Linked DNA regions of Saccharomyces cerevisiae S288C. The gene in region 1 interacts genetically with each later gene. Each region holds a gene or a part of one and is shown in the gene's direction. Other genes may lie near its edges.

The links.
Region 2: mutations in KAR5 (region 1) and PRM3 together harm fitness more than expected from each alone (negative genetic interaction), as found in Saccharomyces cerevisiae (2 studies listed by BioGRID).

The regions. Positions count from the first base shown.
Region 1 is NC_001145.3:394,575-407,271, forward strand, and holds KAR5 (Kar5p), read left to right. Parts: upstream 1-5,127; coding exon 5,128-6,642; downstream 6,643-12,697. Other genes in the region: cleavage polyadenylation factor subunit RNA14, read left to right, coding at 1-214; ARG7 (glutamate N-acetyltransferase), read right to left, coding at 480-1,805; RIM9 (Rim9p), read left to right, coding at 2,503-3,222; AEP1 (Aep1p), read left to right, coding at 3,329-4,885; SOV1 (Sov1p), read left to right, coding at 6,967-9,663; UBX4 (Ubx4p), read right to left, coding at 9,749-10,999; AVO2 (Avo2p), read left to right, coding at 11,730-12,697.
Region 2 is NC_001148.4:177,163-184,954, reverse strand, and holds PRM3 (pheromone-regulated protein PRM3), read left to right. Parts: upstream 1-1,898; coding exon 1,899-2,300; downstream 2,301-7,792. Other genes in the region: MIY2 (ubiquitinyl hydrolase 1), read left to right, coding at 276-1,358; RSA1 (Rsa1p), read right to left, coding at 2,407-3,552; DDC1 (Ddc1p), read right to left, coding at 3,840-5,678; APL5 (Apl5p), read right to left, coding at 5,934-7,792. UniProt on the Saccharomyces cerevisiae protein: Required for the fusion of nuclear envelopes during mating, ensuring proper karyogamy. Plays a role in the initiation of outer nuclear envelope fusion.

The DNA.
Region 1 (12,697 bases):
AAAGAGACTAATGGAGGAAACTGGAAACAATGGAAACTTCTCCAATAAGAAATTCAAAAGAGACTCAGAGCTTCCAACAGAGGTTCTTGATTTATTGAGCGTTATACCAAAACGTCAATATTTTAATACAAATTTACTCGATGCGCAGAAATTGGTGAATTTTTTAAATGATCAAGTAGAGATTCCAACAGTTGAGAGCACCAAGTCAGGTTAACATTACGTTAATAAATAGGTATATATGAATATTTATACCAACACATCTATTATAATAGGCGAACCTCTGTATGTAATTAAGTAAAAAAAAAACGATGTGACAGGATAGTTAAGGTGCCTCGTACATAAATAAAAACGGAAATAGTTAATTCTTTCAAAAATATGGCAATAGCCAAACTCATTCAGAAGGTACAGGAAACACTCTGTTTCTGTGCGTTTATATAACCATGCTTATAAAAGAAAGATTGAACAAAATATACATGAATTTATGAACGGTAATCACCGTTAATTGTTACATATTCATGTGATAAATCACAAGTCCAAAATTGTGCTGCCTGATCACCGGTTCCCAAGTCGACAGACACTTCCAAATCATTCAAAGCCAATATTTCAGAAGCCCTTGTTTCATCGATCTCCAATTGTGGCACACCATTAGCGACAAGCTTCAGCTCACGAGGTTCTGAATTGTCGGTAGCAATAAAGCTAACATTAATTTTGTTGACATCTAGAGATTTTAAGTCATTCAGCTTTGCATACCCGATCGCGCACAATATTCTTCCCCAATTGGCATCTTGCCCATATAGTGCGGTTTTGACCAACATAGAGTTTGAGATTGATTCAGCAATTATTTTGGCGTCTTCAAAATGCAAAGCATTTTTAACGTTAACAGTAACAAACTTTGTCGAACCTTCACCATCGCGAACGACTAACTGGGCCAAGCGCTGAGCAAATTCTGTGACCTGCAATTTTACTTGTTCAAAATCTTTAGAGTCTTCGTTAATTTCTTTGGTGTCAATAGCACCGTTGGCCAACATGCAAATTGTGTCATTGGTGCTCATATCACCGTCCACCGATATACAATTAAATGAACGGGTAGTAGCGAAAGTCAGCATCTTCTGCAACGCCTTGCTTTCAATAGGAAGATCTGTAACTATGAAACCTAATAAGGTAGCCATATTCGGACAAATCATACCCGCGCCCTTTGCCATACCTGTCAAAGTATACTCAGTACCACTAGGTAATTTGAATCTAGATGTAACTAATTTTGGGAAAGTATCAGTAGTACAGATTGATTTGGCTACGTTCAACCAAGAGTTAAAATCACTGCCGAACTTTTCTTCTCCAAAAATTTTATTGATACCAGTGCTGATCTTGTCCATCTGTAGTCGTTGTCCAATAACGCCTGTAGACATGACTAGGGTAGAATTTTTTTGACCAATTTTATCGTTAACCAAATCAATCATTACTTGGGCATCTTTCATACCAAGATCACCTGTGACCGAGTTAGCACAACCGGAATTGACTACAATAGCGTTGATGTTTTTACCACGAGCAGTTTCAAGGACTTTTTTCGATGTCAAAACTGGCGCAGCTTTGAATTTATTGGTCGTGAAAACAGCTGCTGCGGTTGAAGGACGAGATTTATTGGTATTCAAGATTACACCCAGGTCCAGGCTCCCGTTTTTTTTGACTCCAGATGCAGTGTAGCCTACTTCAAATCCTTTAGGAAAAGAGCCCGTCTTGGGCACGTATAATGCATACTTATCTATAAGCTGCTTCGAGCGTTGAAGCAATGTTGATGATATTCTCATGCTATGTTGAATTTTGGACTTCTTTAAATAAAGGGAATAGAAGTATTGCTGATACTAGCCCAAAAATCGTCACCTTTGTGCGGCGAGCCGAGGATGAGGCTTTTATATACTCGACGACTAAAGAAGTTGGCAACGAATTACGCAGTGAGTCATCCTACCTGTCCATCGCAGTAGAAAAAGACCTTCGCCAAGAAAACACCGTCAATAATGATTGCTAAGCACTCTCACTTAGTACTACTATCAACGCTACCTTCAATTTGGGTCTAACCACGGCCCTATTGCATCACTACTCTCTTTATTCTATGATACAGCGTGGGGGTGAAGCCAAGAGCCCTGTGTTTTACTTCAGCATACCAACAAAGTATAAGATTACTTTTGCTATACAGCGATGAAAAATGTATTTTAATGTTTGTAAATTTATGATCTACTGACACGTCTCAGACAGATCACATTTACAACACAGCATGCTATGACTATATACAAAACATGACTTTTCTTTATCACTAAAAGTAACTGCCAATTTATTGTCGAATCTCGCTATAGTTTGATTTTCACCAGCGGCGCGCGCAAGTATAAGCTAAGAAACAATGAATATAGATAGATAGTGATGAGCGTTGAGAACCGGGAAATGAGTAGAGACGTCCTTCTAAACAAAGATTTATACGGTTGAGACAGATTCATTGAGGAAAAGAGGAGAATGGTTAGCATGATCCATATTGTGGTGTTTTTGCTAGCAATCACAACCATGTTCGAAATACTTCCGCTAATAACCGTCCCCGTGACCAAGTACCTATCGTTATCGTCATTCAGAAACCACTATTATGGCCTGTTTGGCTGGTGTGTACGTGGTCAAAACCAAGAATTGATGTGCACGAAAATGAAGATAGGATATGACAGTACAGATGTCGACTCCTCCGGGCACGTTTTGACCCTGCCATCGAACTCAAAAGTGGTCGTCTCCAATTTATTAGTGGTTCACCCGATTTCACTGGCATTCACAGGAACGCTATTAATTTTAGCAGTGATTATCATGGTAACTCCACTAGGGGACTCACCTGAGATGTTATTGTTCACGGCCCTTTTTTCGCTGCCAACGTTCATGCTATGTCTTTTATGTTTTTTGGTAGATATTCTTCTGTTCATCTCCAAACTGGACTGGCCCGGCTGGCTAATGCTAGCCGCTACTATTAGCGTAGCACTTTGTTGTTCCATGCTGTGGGTCATGAGAAGAGTTGTGTCAGTCAAAAAATATGAATCGCAACAGTCAATTGCGCATGCGTGCTCAATGGAACAGTACTCAATTTCCGACATTTACCAGAGTAAACAGAACGGCAATAGCTCAGAATATGAAGTGGCTCCAACACATACAGATAGTCTGATTGCTCCAGAAGTGACATATAGAGGGTTCATTGAATAAGTAACATCATGTGTCATTTTGCACGTTACATCGGTTTGCCAATCGGCTTCCAAATATTTGTACATTTTTTTCTTCCTCCATCACTATCTGTTAAGGGTCTTAGAAAATGATTACTACAGTGCAAGAAATCAGCAAATGGAGAAACCTGTGCTTCATTAGGATGCAATCTCGCAAATGGTACCCAGTACTTAAAAAGACTCCTTTAGTAGCGGACGGTCGAAAGATCATTAAACATGCCGATAAAGTTCCTCATCCGGAAGAAATAATTCACCCATTTTACCAACCAACAGCAATAGAACAATTCACGGCATGCGCTACGGAATACAATCCTAGCCTGCTTGATGGCAAAAAAATTGCTCCATCACTGATAAAACACCCGGTGAGCCTAAAAACCATACTAGTTGATAGCAAATTAAAGTTTGATGATATTAGGGGAGTGAATAAATGGTTGATGGAATTCGTTGCAAGACGACAACATCAAAGAAATATTGTACTTACACCTGCGAGCAAAAGCGTTAGATCTTTTCACGTTCTGCATTTGTCTTCAACCGATATTGCCAAATTAAGAGGTCTTGAAAATATATTATCAGAGATTGAAAACACGAATGATTTGCAATCCAGGGTCGAGTCCGTAAATAATGAACTACAGAATATTTTTGACCGCGACAGTAAACAGACAAGATTATTTTGCGAGAATATACTGGCTTATTTGATAAAGAATTATGGAAACTCGACTGAAAAACTTATACTACTAATAAATGTTACTGAGATGCAATTATATTCACGTTTAGACCAAATGAAGGCCATGAACATTATTTTATATAATATCCTTTGTAAAGTGGAAGCAAATGAAAACCCACCGTACAGTCCCACATTGGTTACCGCACTAGAAAACCTATTGGCAGCGATCAACAACAGATTTTTTCCAGGGCGTTGCGAAAATTCATTGCACCCAATAGTAATTGAACAACTATTATCATATTTCATTAAAACCGGCAATTTGAATGAAAGCAAAAATTTTTTGGGCCATTTAATAAAAAAGGGTATTTTACCAGAGGCTACTATCATTAATAGATATTTGGAGGCAATTGATGTTCATTTCGATAAAAGCACTAAGATTTTTGATATAAGATCCAAATTTGCATTCATAGCAGATCTTGCACCCATAATAGAAAATTATGGAACAATAGACCTGTTCAAATTTTTGATACCTATGTGCCGGCATTTCGACGAATTGTGTTCTCTGCTAAATATTATTCGAAAATCCAATAACGCAAAACGGGCTGTGGATAGCACCTTACCTATTTTTATCAAAAAAGTATTAACATTTACTAAAGATCCAATGATCAACTCCGGAAATCTATCCACTGTTTTCAATATAGTGAGCCCAATATATGGACAAAACGTGCCCAGCGAATTCGTGGAGAAATTTATACTGTCTTTTGCACTTCAAGGAAATTACACTATGATGGCTCATATGATAGATACATATAAGATCAAACTAAGTCATAAATACCAACTACAAATTATTAGGGCTCTCAAAAATAGTGAGAGAAATCACGCGCTTAAGAATACGGGCGCTGTAGGTTATAATAAGGAATTTAAAAAGTACTTCATCGAGAAATATTTGAATTGCACTGAACGAGAAGCTTTACGCCCATAAATCGTCTATATTAAAAAAAAGGCAGCATAAGAGCAACTCACTGCAAAGGGAATTGCGCATTCCACGCAAATAAACAATGTAAATAAGAATACGTACTGTAACTGTGTCACACTAGCGGGTTGTTTTATCATAATTGTTTGGGATTAATCCTGAACAAATTTTCTATATATAAACACTGGTTCGGAATACCAATGAAGTATACATATTCTGGTTCAACAACTGTTTCTATTCAAAAACTTTGAATGTTTGAAATGCGCTACGTCTATTTGTTTGCAATTTGTATTAAGTTTGTTTCAAGCTCCGAACTAGGAAAAATCAACAATCTGCTGCAAGGAAGATTGATATACACAGATAATTCCGTTGCGACAAATGTATTAGAATCCAAATTTCCATTCTTGAAATCAACATGTGTTAAAGACGCACTAAAATTATTTTTGCCACAATGTATTGCAAATGGACTTGAATCCATTGACGCTGAAACAAGGGTAGAAACGGCCATTAAACTTTCAATATGCGAGTTTCAGGCATCTGGCTTGGGCGAAATACCAGAAAATTGCATGGTTGACGACCTAGGATCAATGATGGATTGTATGTTTGAACTAGAATCATCTTCACAGTGGTGGACAACTTATAGTGGAAATTATCAGCGACTATCGAGTATTTGTTATGAAAATCTTCTTCCTTTTGAAAAAGAACAGATACTGAAACTTTTTCTAAATATCACTGAACTTTATGATTCATTTGGGGATGATGTCGATACTAAGTTAAATCATCTGATGTTTCAAATGGAGCAAGATTCTCAAAATTTTTTGGACGATCTGGCCAGGATGTTCCGCAACTATGACAATGAACTGCGAAATGCGACCGAAAGCAATCGAATAATCTTAGAAAACGACCTCTCATTTTTTAGAAATAAAGTGAATGATGTACTCTATGAAACTTCCGAACAACTAGAGGTCCAAATCATAGAGAAGAACAGTCAACTAATGAATGAAGTTGATACCGTCCATCATATTATGAGCGATCTAGCCGATGAGCTTGCTAAAAATGACATAAAATCTAAGATAAATGACTTGAAGGACGACAGCCTGAATAATTTACAGGACCTAGTGGAAATGTCCAACGACGTAAAAGAATATTACTCTAGAAATAACAAGTTAGTTAATACCGAGTTGGAAAACTTCTCGATGGGTTTAAAAAAACAGTTAGGAGGCATGTCAAAGGATCTTTCTGAATCACAAATGGAAGCTATAGAGCTCTTGCAAGGGTTCAATTCCATCCTTCATGATTCATTGTTACCATCCATGACGGATGAGATAGTACCTGAGATGACGAACTTCAAAAATACCTTACTACAAGAATGGACAGCTATAACATCTACACTAAATGGAGATTTTGCTTTATGGAATGAGGAGATTTTTTCAACTTTTAATGATATTTCAGAGAAACTGAATGGCACAAAAAAAAAATTAGACGACATTGAAATCAGAGTCTCACTTGTCCATAAAAATGTCATGACAATGATGAGGGTATTGGATTTTATGTGGAAAACTAGTAAAATGATTATAAGATGTGGGTACCTTGCAGTCAAGAATAAATACTACTGGTTACTGTGCTCCGTTGTGTGGATTTGGTCAAAATACCGTACGTCTCGAGTAAACGTCAAAATGATTCCTATTAAACGCTATTACCAATGGGCAGCTCTTCTACTTTCAATTTATCTAGGAGCTAAGACTGGCTCATTGATTGATTTTTAACATTACCGATGTAACAATATATGAAAGCCTATATATACATAGATGTATAGGTATATAGCCGCATTCAAAGTCTAGCAAAATAAATATTCTTTAAAAATTCAAGGACACCGGATCATGGTGGCCATAATACGGGCAAGTGAACCTAGAGAAGGTGTCCTACGTCACTATCCAAGTTAATTTGCTTAAGAGAGTTCGAGTGCAGCACCTACAGCTTTATCATTGAAGACGAAGCAAAAAGATCTTGAGATTCTATATCATGGGCACAGGTAGTATTCATTAGGTAGTAGTAACGTATTAAACAAGGCCATACTATATTTATAACTCATGTTCAAATACAACCGCTCACTCTGTAGCAGCGCTTTGATAGCAAAGTCTCAGATTCGTTTTTATAGATTGAAGCGGGCGCCATTGAATTATGCCTCCCATATACCTGAAGTTCTTAATAAGACCATCATAGGGCCAGACGAACCAGAAAAATGTCTCATTTTGAAAGGAAAAACATCAGAGGAAATCGAAAATAATCTTCTCAGTAATAAGAAATTTCAGGAGATCAATCCTCTTGATACTATCCAGGAAACGTTCATTCAATATCTGAAATTTTGTAATGAAACTAACTTTAAAAGAAGTAACAAGAATTTAAACAGATTAAAAAAAACCTTAGAAAGCAAGGACTCTAATAGCACCGTAAAAATTAATGCAGTTTTCAATTATTTGCTCGAAGAGTGTGATTTAGAAATCAAAAGATTGAACACGACCGGCCAAACCCAGGTATACAATGAAGAGAAAGGAAATGAAGATGACTTAGAGCAATCCATAATGAACGATATTTTCCGATCAGCACAAGAACAATTTGAAGATCAAGAGGGCCATATACCGTTAAGGAGTACATCATTTTTACTGGAGATTTTGAAAAGTTTTAATGAACGGTTTAATGGCATAATCAAACCGAAAGAGTCAATAACAGAAATGGTCACATTCAGCCAACTTGCTCAAGCTTTTGAAGTTGTTAAATTGATACCAGTGCAAGAAATGAAGGAGAAAGGGATTTACTTGGTCGGAAATTTACTTTATGGCACAGGGAAAGTTCGTTTAGATCCTATAAATGAGTCATTCTATATTGAATCCCTACTAGTTTTTGGAAACTATAAGGCTGCATACAGTTTATTTATTACCAATAAAGACAAAGTAAACGAGCGCTGGTGGAATGAACTAGGATTAATGATCACATTAAGGTCTAACCACTTGAGAAACTTCAGGAAACTTTTAGCCGAGACAGATGCAAAGTACTCAACAAAGTATTCTTATTTGAGCCCAAGAGTTACCAAATTGAGCATACGAAAATATTTGTCGATTGGCAATGTTACTGAAGCTAATATACTGACTGATCGATTTATTAAGTTAGTGGAAGAAGTTGGAATAATCAGAATGAAAGATGAGCAGGAGGAACTTCCCACGGGAGTTAAAAATTTTCAGAATGAGAAACATGCAACTGAGTTCTTAAATGAACTAGAAATACCATCGGATCATGATTATATCAGCATTGTTGATTTCCATCTTTATAAGAGAAATATTCCCATGGCGGCTCAACTTATCAGCAAGTACATGGAAATACCTGGAACGACACAAGAAGATGCCGCATTTCTACTTGTTAAAACCAAGCTAAATATGTTGAAAGATTTTGAAAAGCTACGAAACATTTTTGCTCAAAATAAAGATTATGTAGTGCCTGAGAATAATGTGAAAATGTTGCAAGAGGCATTTGAGAGCGTTATTACTAAGTATAACACTAATTCTCCAATATACAATGAATTGCTGTTTGAGAATGTTTCGGCCTTAACAAAAAGTATTGTATTAACTGATTTTCTGGAAGAGTTCATTACTAAACAGGCTTCTGGACAGTGGATGGAATTAAACAGTGTGTCACGTTCCAGAAAGTTTAATGGCTTGTTGAACATACTTCTCGGTACAGGTGAAGAAGAAAAAGCATATAATATCTTAAAAAAACTAGAAGAAGCCTCAAAGAAATCAAAAACAGATCCAGATTTACTCTATAATCAGTTTTATTCGGAAGTTAATGCATATCATTACGCTAAATTTGTTGAATTTTATAGTCTTCAAATTCAAAATATGAAGGCACAAAATACGCCCTCATTTAGAAAAAAGGAATTTAAGCAGAAAGTGAAGTCACTTTTAAAAAGAATGCAGGAGTCAGAGGTTATCCCAAATGCTGTTTTTTTGAGAGAAATACTCAATTTTTATGATAGCATGTATGACTTTAATTCAAGTTTTGAGATCATCAATCCGCTACTTGAATCCAAACAACAGGTGAGCTCTGAGTCTTCATTATCCACCTCAAACCCTTGCCGATTTTACAACCGTCGCATCATAACAAAACCGCTGTACCACAAGATTTGGTCTGTGTATTGCCATTATTATCATGTTTTACAAAATAATTCTAGGATTTTATCGAAAAAGTCGTCCATTGTAAAGAAATTAATAAAAAGGCAGATAAAGATTCACCCAACTTGTCACCCAAGAGTATTGTTCCAAATGACGGCAGAAAATGGTGAAATTTTGCCAGACAAAACTTTTTCTAAATTAATTGTGTCCACGTTCATGAAAAGCGGGGATTTAGAAGCAATACCTGCCATATTAACGTTTCTAACGAAAAAATTTGACTTGAATATTGATTACGATTTGAGTATGTATATTCTAAAGGGTTTGAAAAGACAATATTTACGAGATATTAGTAACATCAGTAAAGATGCTTGTGAGTACAAGTTACGGAAGGCGGAGCTAATGAATAATGAGTCAATCTTAAAAAACATTCCACAGGGTACAAATCAAGAGAATACAATATCCCATTTGATCAGGGAGATTTTGATCTTTATAAAATGGAAGGAAAAAAGTGATTGTTCTACTTTCTTGATGGTAGAAGATGCTTTTAAAGAATTAGGAACAGAGTTTACTTTACTCGAAGAATTAATAGAAGATGTAAATAAGTTAAAGATAAAAGCCTAAAAAAACGGATGCATTTTATATAATTTTAGCTATACGTGTACATATTTGTAATAAAGTTAAAAGAGGAGACTGTTTAGCTTTGTATTTATTTTTTACTTAATTTCATCCATTTAGGTACTCTATTTAAAGTCTTTTTGATACTTGTAGCGTTATCAGAAGGGCCCTGTGGATTGGATTTATTTATCGTATTAACTGATGGGGTTGTCCTCGTTTCGTGTGTGATTTTTTGTGCGTCTTCCAAAAGATGAGCCTTTATTAATGGGCCATTAGAATTTGAATTTGTTTCAAAAAGCAGCATTGTTTTAGAGCCAAATTCCAGGTCATCCAGTAGCTTCTTATCGTCTTTAGCCAAGGGTTTGAAAGGATGAGATTGGTTTAACGTAAAAGGCATGTTCTCATCGATCAGGAACTGCGACACGACGTTATAAACTGTACGCATGTCTTCATTGGGTTTGAATGCTATTTGAATATGGCTTCTATCGGGGAACTTGACTCTCAGCAAACACTCAGATATAGCCTTATTTTTCTTTGGCAAGTTGTTGGCTGATTGCTCTCTAAGTCTCTTTGTCAAAATAGGACCACCCAAAGTACCAGCCTTCGATGATAACATTTTTTGGTATTTCTTGGCTTGTTCTACTGTCAATTCATAATCTTCTTCATCCTCGATTTGATCCTTGATAACTGCTAATGGCTCATCCGAGGGCAAAAACACAGAAGGTTTATGTAGTTCGTGAGGTGGTAGTGAAGCAACCGTTTCCGGGTTCGTCATCGTAGGGGGAGTTTGTTTTGGGTGAATAGCGCTATTAGCGCTAATGCCCTCAGAATGAGATGTATTATTAAAAATCAATCTAACTGACGAAGGCTCCTGAATCCCTAAATTTTCGAGAGTCAAATTCTCATCCTTAATTGTTTTGAACTCTATTATCTTGGAAAAGACCTGGATCTTAAAATCATCTCCCGCAGCGCCGCTCATCTGTCGCAAGATAGGGGCAATTGGTTGGTCAGATGGCATTTCTTTAACCACGGAATCTCTTCCTGGGATTTGAAACCGTATTTTGATCGTATTGAATGGAATATCTTCGCGGTTGGTCTTATTCGCCACCGGAAAATTACTACTTTTAGATAATTCTAAGTTGACACCCGTTGGTAAGTTTAGAAGCCTCCATGGCAAATCTAATGGCACCGGTTTATCCAAATGTATCAATGACCAGTCGTTTGACGAGGTGTGCAGTTGAAAGAATTGTATGGATTGGTGTAACACATCGTTTAGTGTTGAATTCAACGAAACTTTACATTTGAAAAGTTGGAAGTTATACTTCACGGTAACCATAGGCATTGTATTGTGCGCTTATTAGTCTGCCTTGCTATTCTTCGCAGTACGTAGATTTATCTTAGTTTTTGCATTTTTTGGTTTTCTTTTTTTTTTGCCACACATAGTACAATAAAAGAGAACTTGAATCTTTGAAGAAACGTCTAAATTAACATCGAAGATAGAAGACAGGGAAACATCTAGGATTGCAAGAAATAGTGCTGAAATTTTGTAATAAAGTTGCAAGAAATAGCATCTAGCGTTTTATAAGGCGTACATCTTTCTTGGCAAGAGTTCCAAGAGAAAAGAGGAGCAAAACAGCGGTTGAGGCGCCCGCTATCTTGAATATTATACAGTTTCTTTAAAAACGCTTGTACAACACTGCATAAACATGGACAAATTATTGAAATTGTTTCAAGATATTTCCCATATCATATTCCAATAGCGTTACTCTCTCATCGCTTATTCTGGAATCATTATTTTAATAAAGATAACTCACACGATATACGTGTACTGAGCTGACCTTTATACCTACCCTTACCTGCTTATTCCTGATAAAAATGTTCGTGCAACTAATTGTTTGATTTCTCTTGCGGCCCGGTTATTCCGGAGTTGATACTTTTTTTCTTCTGTCTTAATTACGTTTTTTTCCTCTAGACTTTTTTGATCTGGTACAATTGAAAATGTATAAATCAACTGGACCCTAAAAATAAAAAAAAAAAACGCCCATTAGAAAAGAGGATATATTGAACAAAAGATGTTGAAAGAGCCCTCAGTTCGCTTGCGGGAGGCTATTATTGAAGGCAATTTACTTATAGTGAAAAGATTATTGCGACGGAATCCGGATTTGCTAACCAACATAGACTCAGAGAACGGATGGAGTTCATTACATTACGCCTCATACCATGGAAGATACCTTATATGCGTGTATTTAATTCAGCTGGGGCACGACAAGCATGAACTAATAAAAACCTTTAAAGGAAACACCTGTGTGCATTTAGCATTAATGAAAGGGCACGAGCAAACCTTACATTTACTTTTGCAACAATTTCCGCGATTTATCAACCATCGCGGAGAGAATGGTAGAGCCCCCATCCATATAGCATGTATGAACGATTACTACCAATGTCTGAGTCTGTTGATAGGAGTTGGTGCTGATTTATGGGTAATGGACACTAATGGCGACACGCCGCTGCATGTATGCCTGGAGTATGGCAGTATAAGTTGTATGAAGATGCTTCTCAATGAAGGTGAGGTGTCCTTGGATGATAATGTCAGGGACAAGGGAAATTGGAAGCCAATAGATGTAGCACAAACGTTTGAAGTAGGTAATATATATTCAAAAGTGTTAAAAGAGGTGAAAAAGAAGGGGCCACCGTTGGGTGCAGGCAAAAAACCAAGTTCATTCAGAACTCCTATACTAAATGCGAAGGCCACTTTCGAGGACGGGCCTTCCCCAGTTTTAAGCATGAATTCGCCATATTCGCTCTATTCCAATAATAGTCCGTTGCCGGTATTACCAAGAAGGATATCAACGCATACAACAAGCGGTAACGGTGGGAATCGGAGGAGTTCTATCACAAATCCAGTATTCAACCCACGAAAACCAACCTTGTCTACGGACAGTTTTTCGTCAAGCTCAAATTCCAGCTCGAGACTAAGAGTGAACTCCATCAACGTCAAGACTCCAGTAGGTGTGTCGCCCAAGAAAGAGCTTGTATCTGA
Region 2 (7,792 bases), on another chromosome or scaffold:
AAAATTGCTTTGTAAACAGATTATTAAGTACCGCTCTATTTACCCCATAACGAAAAGAAGTTCCGCGCTTAGGACACCTTTCCCTAGAGGTTCTTGTTTGATTTGTTTTAGTCATCTGCCTGTCGTTTATTTTAGTTTCGCAGTATTAACAGCGAGCAGTACGAAAAAAGGGTCTTGAAAACGTTGGACAAAATGCCCATTCTACAAGGCGCTTTAAAGAACAGCTCAAAGTAGATTCACATCACTGCAATTCTTGTTTATTGCAATATCTTTTCATGGATTTAAGTTTCACGACTAAAAGTGTCAAAATTAATGGTCAAAACCATCGAATATTACTGCAAAACGAAAACGGACCTTGTGCCTTGTTAGCACTTGCAAATATTCTAATACTTTCACCAGATCATACACGTTTTTCCAATGAGTTAATAAGGTTGGTAAATAAGGGAAGTCAAATATCTTTAAAAGAACTTATTGAAGTCTTAGCAGATATCGCTTTACAAGTTACAGATAAACCTAGTACTGATATAAGTGAGTTACTAAGTTTGTTACCTAGATTACATGAAGGTTTAAATATTAACCCTGAGTTTAATGGGTCTTTTGAAAATACTAAAGAGATGTCAATATTTCGATTGTTTAACGTTGATGTTGTCCATGGCTGGGTTATCAACAGTTTCATAAATGAAAACATTGATGAGAAACTATCTCATTATTCTTATGAATCTGCGCAGAGAATCTTAACACAAGCAGCTGATATAAATTGTGGAATTTCCCAAGATGAAAACTCGGACGAAGTTTTACGTGATGCCATGCATTTGGGTCTGTTTTTGAACGAATCACCGACTCAGTTGACCGCCTTTGGACTCCTACGATTGAGAGAAAAGCTGCTACACAACAAATTCTCCATTTTATTCAGAAATGACCATTTTTCTACATTGTTCAAATACGAAGATCGATTATACACATTGGTTACGGACTTTGGTTATAAAAATTGTAAAGATATTGTATGGCAATCCCTAGATTCGGTGGACGGCTCCTGCGATGCTTTTTTTGCCGGTAACTTTAGTGCAGCAGAGGTAAATGGACAGCAATTGTCAACTGACATTGAACGTGATTTTGGAACTGGAAATTTGCTACTTGAAGAAATTCAGCAAATTGAAAACGATAAAGAACTAGCCAAACAGTTACAGGAACAAGAACAAGAACGTGTTACGAAATTTGAAGCAAAAAGGAAAATCCATTCTCACAAAAAAAACTCAGAAATACACGCACCAGTCAAAAAAGACAAGTTTAAGCGAAGAAGCAGCCTTCTCAATGCAAAAGCTTCTGAAAAAGAGAAAAGTGAGTGCGTTGTTATGTAAGAGCTGTTCACTTGTTTTTATCGTATATCCTCGCGTAAAACATGATTAATCAATCTGTTCGCTTTAAGGAAGATCTCATAAGGACACCGACTCTCTAATTATTCTGGAGATATGTGGACCCCTACAGGCGTGATTTTCTGTCTAAACATTGCCACATAAAACAGGCTTGACATTATATTGGCCATTTGATTTATACTTGTTTCAGATCCTTTGTCGGGCCGGATTCTAAGAGCGCGCGCGAGGCGTCGAAATAAATCAAATAAGAACTAAAATACATAATTCTTGTCACAATGGATTGAATTTCAGTGCATAAGATTACATTTGTCGGAGCTATAATTCCATTACGGCAAAACAGAACTGAAACAAGTATATTGGCTATCTCTAGTATAAATTGTTGTAAAACTGACATCATATGGAACCAAAGTAGTAGACTCGCATTTGCAAACATATTTAAAATACTTGGAATAGATTTCACCAGCCTCAAGATAAATTTATAAACACATTAAATAACTAATAAATATATAAATACTTCTCCAAAAAATGACAGCAATGAAAGAAGACAACGCTGCATTGATTACACTGAAGAAAAACAACGACCAAGAAAAACTTAGAGTGCATAAACTGACAGATGCAAGTTCAAACTCTGCTGATGGGTTCGTTATAAATAAAGCCAAAAACGGTGGACCGCTTAATAAAAAGTCATTAGTTAATAATGAACAACACATTAAGAAGGCTGTGTCGCCTGGTAGAGTCAGGAAGCACAAAACGACAACATCTTCCACAAAATCACGAACGAAAAGTAAGAAAAAAGACGCTTCTGAAAGTAAAGTACAGAGAGAGAATAAGGGTTCATTTTACCAAGGTGCCATTTTCGGTTCGTTCCTTGGTGCTGCTGTAACTACTGTTTTAAGTAACCTAGCAGTTAAAGCTCTTCAAAATTAGTTTCATATACTCATGATTTCTAAACAGTAATTAGTTTTATCTGACTTATTTTTTTTTACGCACCTTTGCATGTACTCTTCCATGTATATCAATATTTGCTATTCTATTACTTATTTCTAGTAAAGTTGGCTCTACTCAGATTAGGTTTCCTGTTTTTGTAATTTGGTTTGTAATGATTTTTATTATTATCTTCAGAGCTCCCAAAAAGTACATCTTTTTCTTGTTGAGATAGCTCATATTCAAGTAATCCTACATCTCCCAATTCTCTTATAAAGTCCAAAAGTTGGGAGTTTTCGTTTGCGAATTCTCGCTGTATCAATTTCAAGTTCAAGTCAATCTTCGGATTTCCTCTCTGCACTTGATTTTGAATACTCTGTATAAATTGCTTTTCTTTCCTTGACTCTTTGAAAATGCTAGGTTGGCTCTTCAGTTCATCTTCCTTTATGCCCATTTCTTGCATATGTTTCTGTTTGTTATTGGATATTTTCAGTAGCCACATTTTTTTTCTTTCTTCTCTCCACTTTTTAACATCTTCATCAGTAATCAATGCTATGGAGGTTCCAGGAACCAAAACCACCTTACCCAACCCCTCTGATTCTAACTGCTCATCACGATCATCATCTTCTAGCCCTAAGTTATTATGATCATCTTCGGCATTAGAATTTGCCAGCTCGGGATCCTTTCTTGGGATTTCTGTAGGCTCCGCAGATGCTTGATCCTTGCTTGATGGTACTGGACTTATTTCATTCATAAACGTATCTTTCCCTCTGTTTTTCTCAATCAATTGTATTTCCTTTACGGTCGGTATTGCAACATCTTCATAACTAATTGATGTTTGGTAATCTTTATCATTCTTTAAGGCTTGAGTGTTTTCACAATATGATGATGGCCACTTCTGTAAATTAAGCGCTGGTGCATAAGATATATTCTGATGAACTGGCGGTATGTAATTTTCTGTATAATTGGGAGGACTCGTATAATTGTACTGAGTGGACGGTTGTATTGGATGGAAATATTGATTATGAGGGGCTACATGATGAAGTTGAGGAGTATAACCGGTATTCCATGAACCTTCATAATACGGAGAGTTCGGATACATATGAGGTGAGTAAGCTGCATTAAAAGCAGAGTCTGTTTTTTGCCTTTTAATTTTCGATTCATCATAGCCATCTGATAGCGTTCCGGAGTATGTAGGTTTGGGAAGCCTAGAATGTCCATCACCCTTCGAATTTTCAAAGTTATTATAATTCATAGTCCATGTCGCAATAAGCTAATCAAAATGGAAAAAGAGATTGACTTATGAGTTAAATATAATAGCATCAATGAAATTTTTAAGTTCCTATTAAGTAAAAAGCTATGCAATATAGAGATATTATGCTATTGAAAATTTTAGTTTGTTCCCCGACCGTGATGGACCATCAGCCGCACGCTCACCAAATTGAGACAGAAAAAAAAAAAAAAACAGCGATCGATATTATCATGATAATTGCTACTTCATCTAATATTTACACGCCTTTATACTGATTTTGCATTATGGTTTTAGTCAAATATACCCCTTGGCTTTTCTACTTGTGTTAGACCCAGCCCATCTTCCATCTCTTTATTGTCCTGTTTCTTGTGATTACTTGTGTCATTCTGGGAATTCAACAGACCTTGCATATGCTTCAATTTTTCTTTCTTGAGCATTCCTTTTCTATCGATATTGCTGCATGAAACCTCATCATCTGCAGCTGGTAACGCTTTTCCCCATGTCACAGTGGTGTCTGCCCTTTTTGCAAATGTAGATTGTTGGGTGGGGTCTTCAGTTTCATTACAAATATCTGCTATGGATCTTTTTAAAGAATTGCTCTCATTACGTGGACAGGCCACTTCATGAGTCGTACCAATGTCAAAACTTTGTTCCCGATTCATGTTCATATGAACTGAACTAGCCTGCCGGAACCGCTTATCTTGTTCGTAATTCGTACTTTGGCTTTGTTCTTCCACGAATAATTTTCTTGCCGTGTTATTTCTATAGGTCTTAGCAACTGTGCTTCCATTATCAGGGGTCAGATACGACACTTTCAAAGGACTGTTTCGAGTTCCAGCCACAGAGTGTGGCAGGTTTTCTCTCTTTAAAGCAGTTTTGCTTTTTAATGGACTTTCGCAGCTTTCTTTGTTGTCTTTCAGTCCGGCCTCTTCTTTGGAGCCAGAGATTGCTGTTTTTATGAATTTTCCTTCTAAAATATCATCGTTAATGTTACTGTCAGTAACTTCAACCAATTCTAATTTTACGCCCGGTTTTTGCATTTGCATAAGAATAGGGTCCCCTGGGTGGCAAAACCATAAACTTATATTATCATTTCCGTCCTGGGTAGTCTTCCAGGATGGACCTATCGTTATGAAGTTTTTGAAGTCCTTCAATTTGAATATTATACTTTTCATATGCTCTCTACGCTTACTATGTGATCGCTTATCTTGTTTTTCATCTTCGATTGTTGTAAATAAGCAATAATGCTCAAGATCGAGCGTACTGATAGTGTTACTCATGCTTAACGCATTTCTTAAAAGGTCGTTATTTTTGCCGTAGACGGCCTTGGTGAATGCAGTTATGCTTAGCCTATGTACGTTAATTTCCAATTTTACTTCATCGGTTACATTAACATTGCAGTTGTCTAAAAAATTCTTCAATAAAGTTGAATTACAACAAATGTAATTAATCTCATCAGCAGCCGTTAACTGATTCCTTTTACGTATGTCTGATTCCACTTCTTCGTTAAATAAGGCTGATGTTAGCTCACGCTCTGTATTTGTAAAAACGTCCAATAGCTTAGGGTCCAAGGGCTCCTGTGGATTCCGATCGGAGGCAGCAGTTCCAAAAACATCCAAAAACCTCCTTTTGTACTTAAGGTTGATTATTATGGGATCGTATTTTATTGGCTGGAATTGGGGACAGTATTCTTTGACTATTAACGAATCCATTTCAATCACCACAATCAATCTATTTGCAAGTGATTCAGGACAGGTAGAAGTGTTGTTTACCGCAATTGTGAATGATTTGATGCCATCACCATCCGGCTTTCTTGATATAGTTGTTAGGTGTCTTCCATTAACACGGAAGGAGTATAACTTATGACTATTGCCGTACGTATCTTCTATAACTTGAACCCCATTTTCTCCAAATACAATCTCATGTGGTTTAAACTCATACTCCTCAAAAAAGCTTTTCTGAAACCTAACCTGACAAAGAGTAGTATCTGTCTCGTTCATTGACCAAGCAATTAACTCATTTGTTGTCACTGTAATCTTGATATCATCCTGAATTGTAGATAACACATATATCGCACGAAACCAGATATTCTGCTTCCCCGACTCGGTGATAGTTGCCTTAAATGACATATATGTCTAAGCAAAGTTATGCTGTGTTATTGTTACACTAGCAATAGTATGTCAAATAATTTTGCAAATCATCTCTGGTCTATGATTACCTTTGGCGGCCTTTGATTCATTCGCGTCATTATTAAATATGCCGTCTCTTTCGGCAAATTGAGTGCACCGCAATAATATACTATGCAGAATAAAATACTTAAATTAATTATAGTTTACGTACGTAATCGCTGTCATTGAGAATTCACGACTTCGATTTTTTTATCGTTAAATGTCAGTGCTTTGGTCTCGAAGAAATTCATTTGGTTCTGGAGAATTTTTTGCTTTCGTTTTTAGTTTGTTTTTTGACTTTGACTTTTTCCCTTTCTTCTTCTTTTTTATAACTATAACTTCTTCAGTATCACTTAAATTATCCTTTTCATCTTTTACAATAAGATTGGCCTCTAAACGACTTAATTCTAACTCGTCTTCCTTTCTAAGGTTGCCCTCTTCCTGCGATCCTCTTCCTGCGTTACTCGATTGCCCAAAATTGGAAAAATCAAAATTTTCAAGTTGAGAGTGCATTCTCAGATTAATCTTGTCCTTTTTCAAAGGATTTTGAGTTGAATGATTATCATGGGGTTTCTGGAATGCATCTTTCCTTTTGGGAGCGGCTTCGATAACAGGTTCATCGGATAAGACTTGAACCCTATTTTTCTTCTTTCCCTTCTTCTTCTTTCTGCTGATTTCAGTTGTAGATAAACTTAGAGAATTCAACGAATTATCGGTTCTATTTAATCTAATAGTTTCTGGCTTTTTATCACTACTTTCCTCCTCATTCAAGTCCAACAAATCTTTAGAGTTCTTAGTTCTTTCTTCGTCTTCTTCACCTAGATAATAAGGATTTGACATCCGTTCCTTTTCTCTCTCAATCTCAAATGGATTTTCAAAATCATCCAATTTTTCCTTTTCTTCATACGAAGTATCAGAATCATCAACGAATTTTAGTTCAACTTGCTCGTCCATTGAGATATCAGACATTAAATCACTGATGGCGTCACTTTTTTGTTCATCTAAGAGTTCATCAGCTGCCTCCTTTGTCAAAAATGGAGTTTCTAGATCAAGATTCTCATCTACTGCTAACTTCAATTGAGTCCCACGCGCAATTGGTGCGAGTTCATAGGCGTTAAAAAAACTAGGCAGGACTTCGCTCAGTAGCATTGGTAGACCTTCCGTATCCTCCTCTAAAGCCTCCAAACTTAGTCTTAAAAATTCTAAAACTTCTACGCTTCTTTCCTGGACTTCGAATGTACTCGAATAAGATAAATTTTCAAAAAATTCAATTAGCTCTTTTAACACCATTTTAATTTCAAAGCGTTTATCCTCCTGAAAGTTATTACACCAATTACTAAATACTTTAACAAGTGCTAAAATTAAAACTTCTTGTACACTATGAGAATAATAACTGATATTCTCAGTCATGATTTTTATTAAGTCGTTACCATTTTCAACTAGGGTAGAAAATTCTCCGAGACACCAAATGCATTCTCTCAATACGGTAGGCAACTGTTTGTTAATATTGTCATTTGAAATAAGCTTTATAATATTAGCAATGGTTACTTCTCTCATTGAAGGAACTTTTATCATCAAATTCCTAAACTGTTCACCAATTTTTGATCCAAGGCTTTTATCAGATATGTCTTGACAGAGCATCGCCAAGTCCATTATTACTGCATTGTACCATTCAAAGTCGTTAACACTGGAATAGTTGTCAGCTGAACAAATCGATATAATGACGTTCACCATTTTTATCTTGTAATTTTCTGGAATTATTATGGGAATTCTCTTTGATTTTTCGTATACGATGCTTCCAGTTTGTAGGATAACCACATCTTCATCTACAAATTGCTTCATCAATGTTTGGACAATTGCCTTTAAGTTATCCTCATCAACAATACCTTCAACCAATTCAATTGCTTTTGATCTTATAGAAACGTCGACATCGGAGAGTAAGCGTATAATCAGTTGGTCGAACCGAGAAATAAAATCAGTATTGATTTTGCCGATCTTGTAAAACAATATGCAGCTAATATATCTCAAATTTGGATCCTGAGAATCACAAAATGTGTGCAATCTTTCCAGGCATG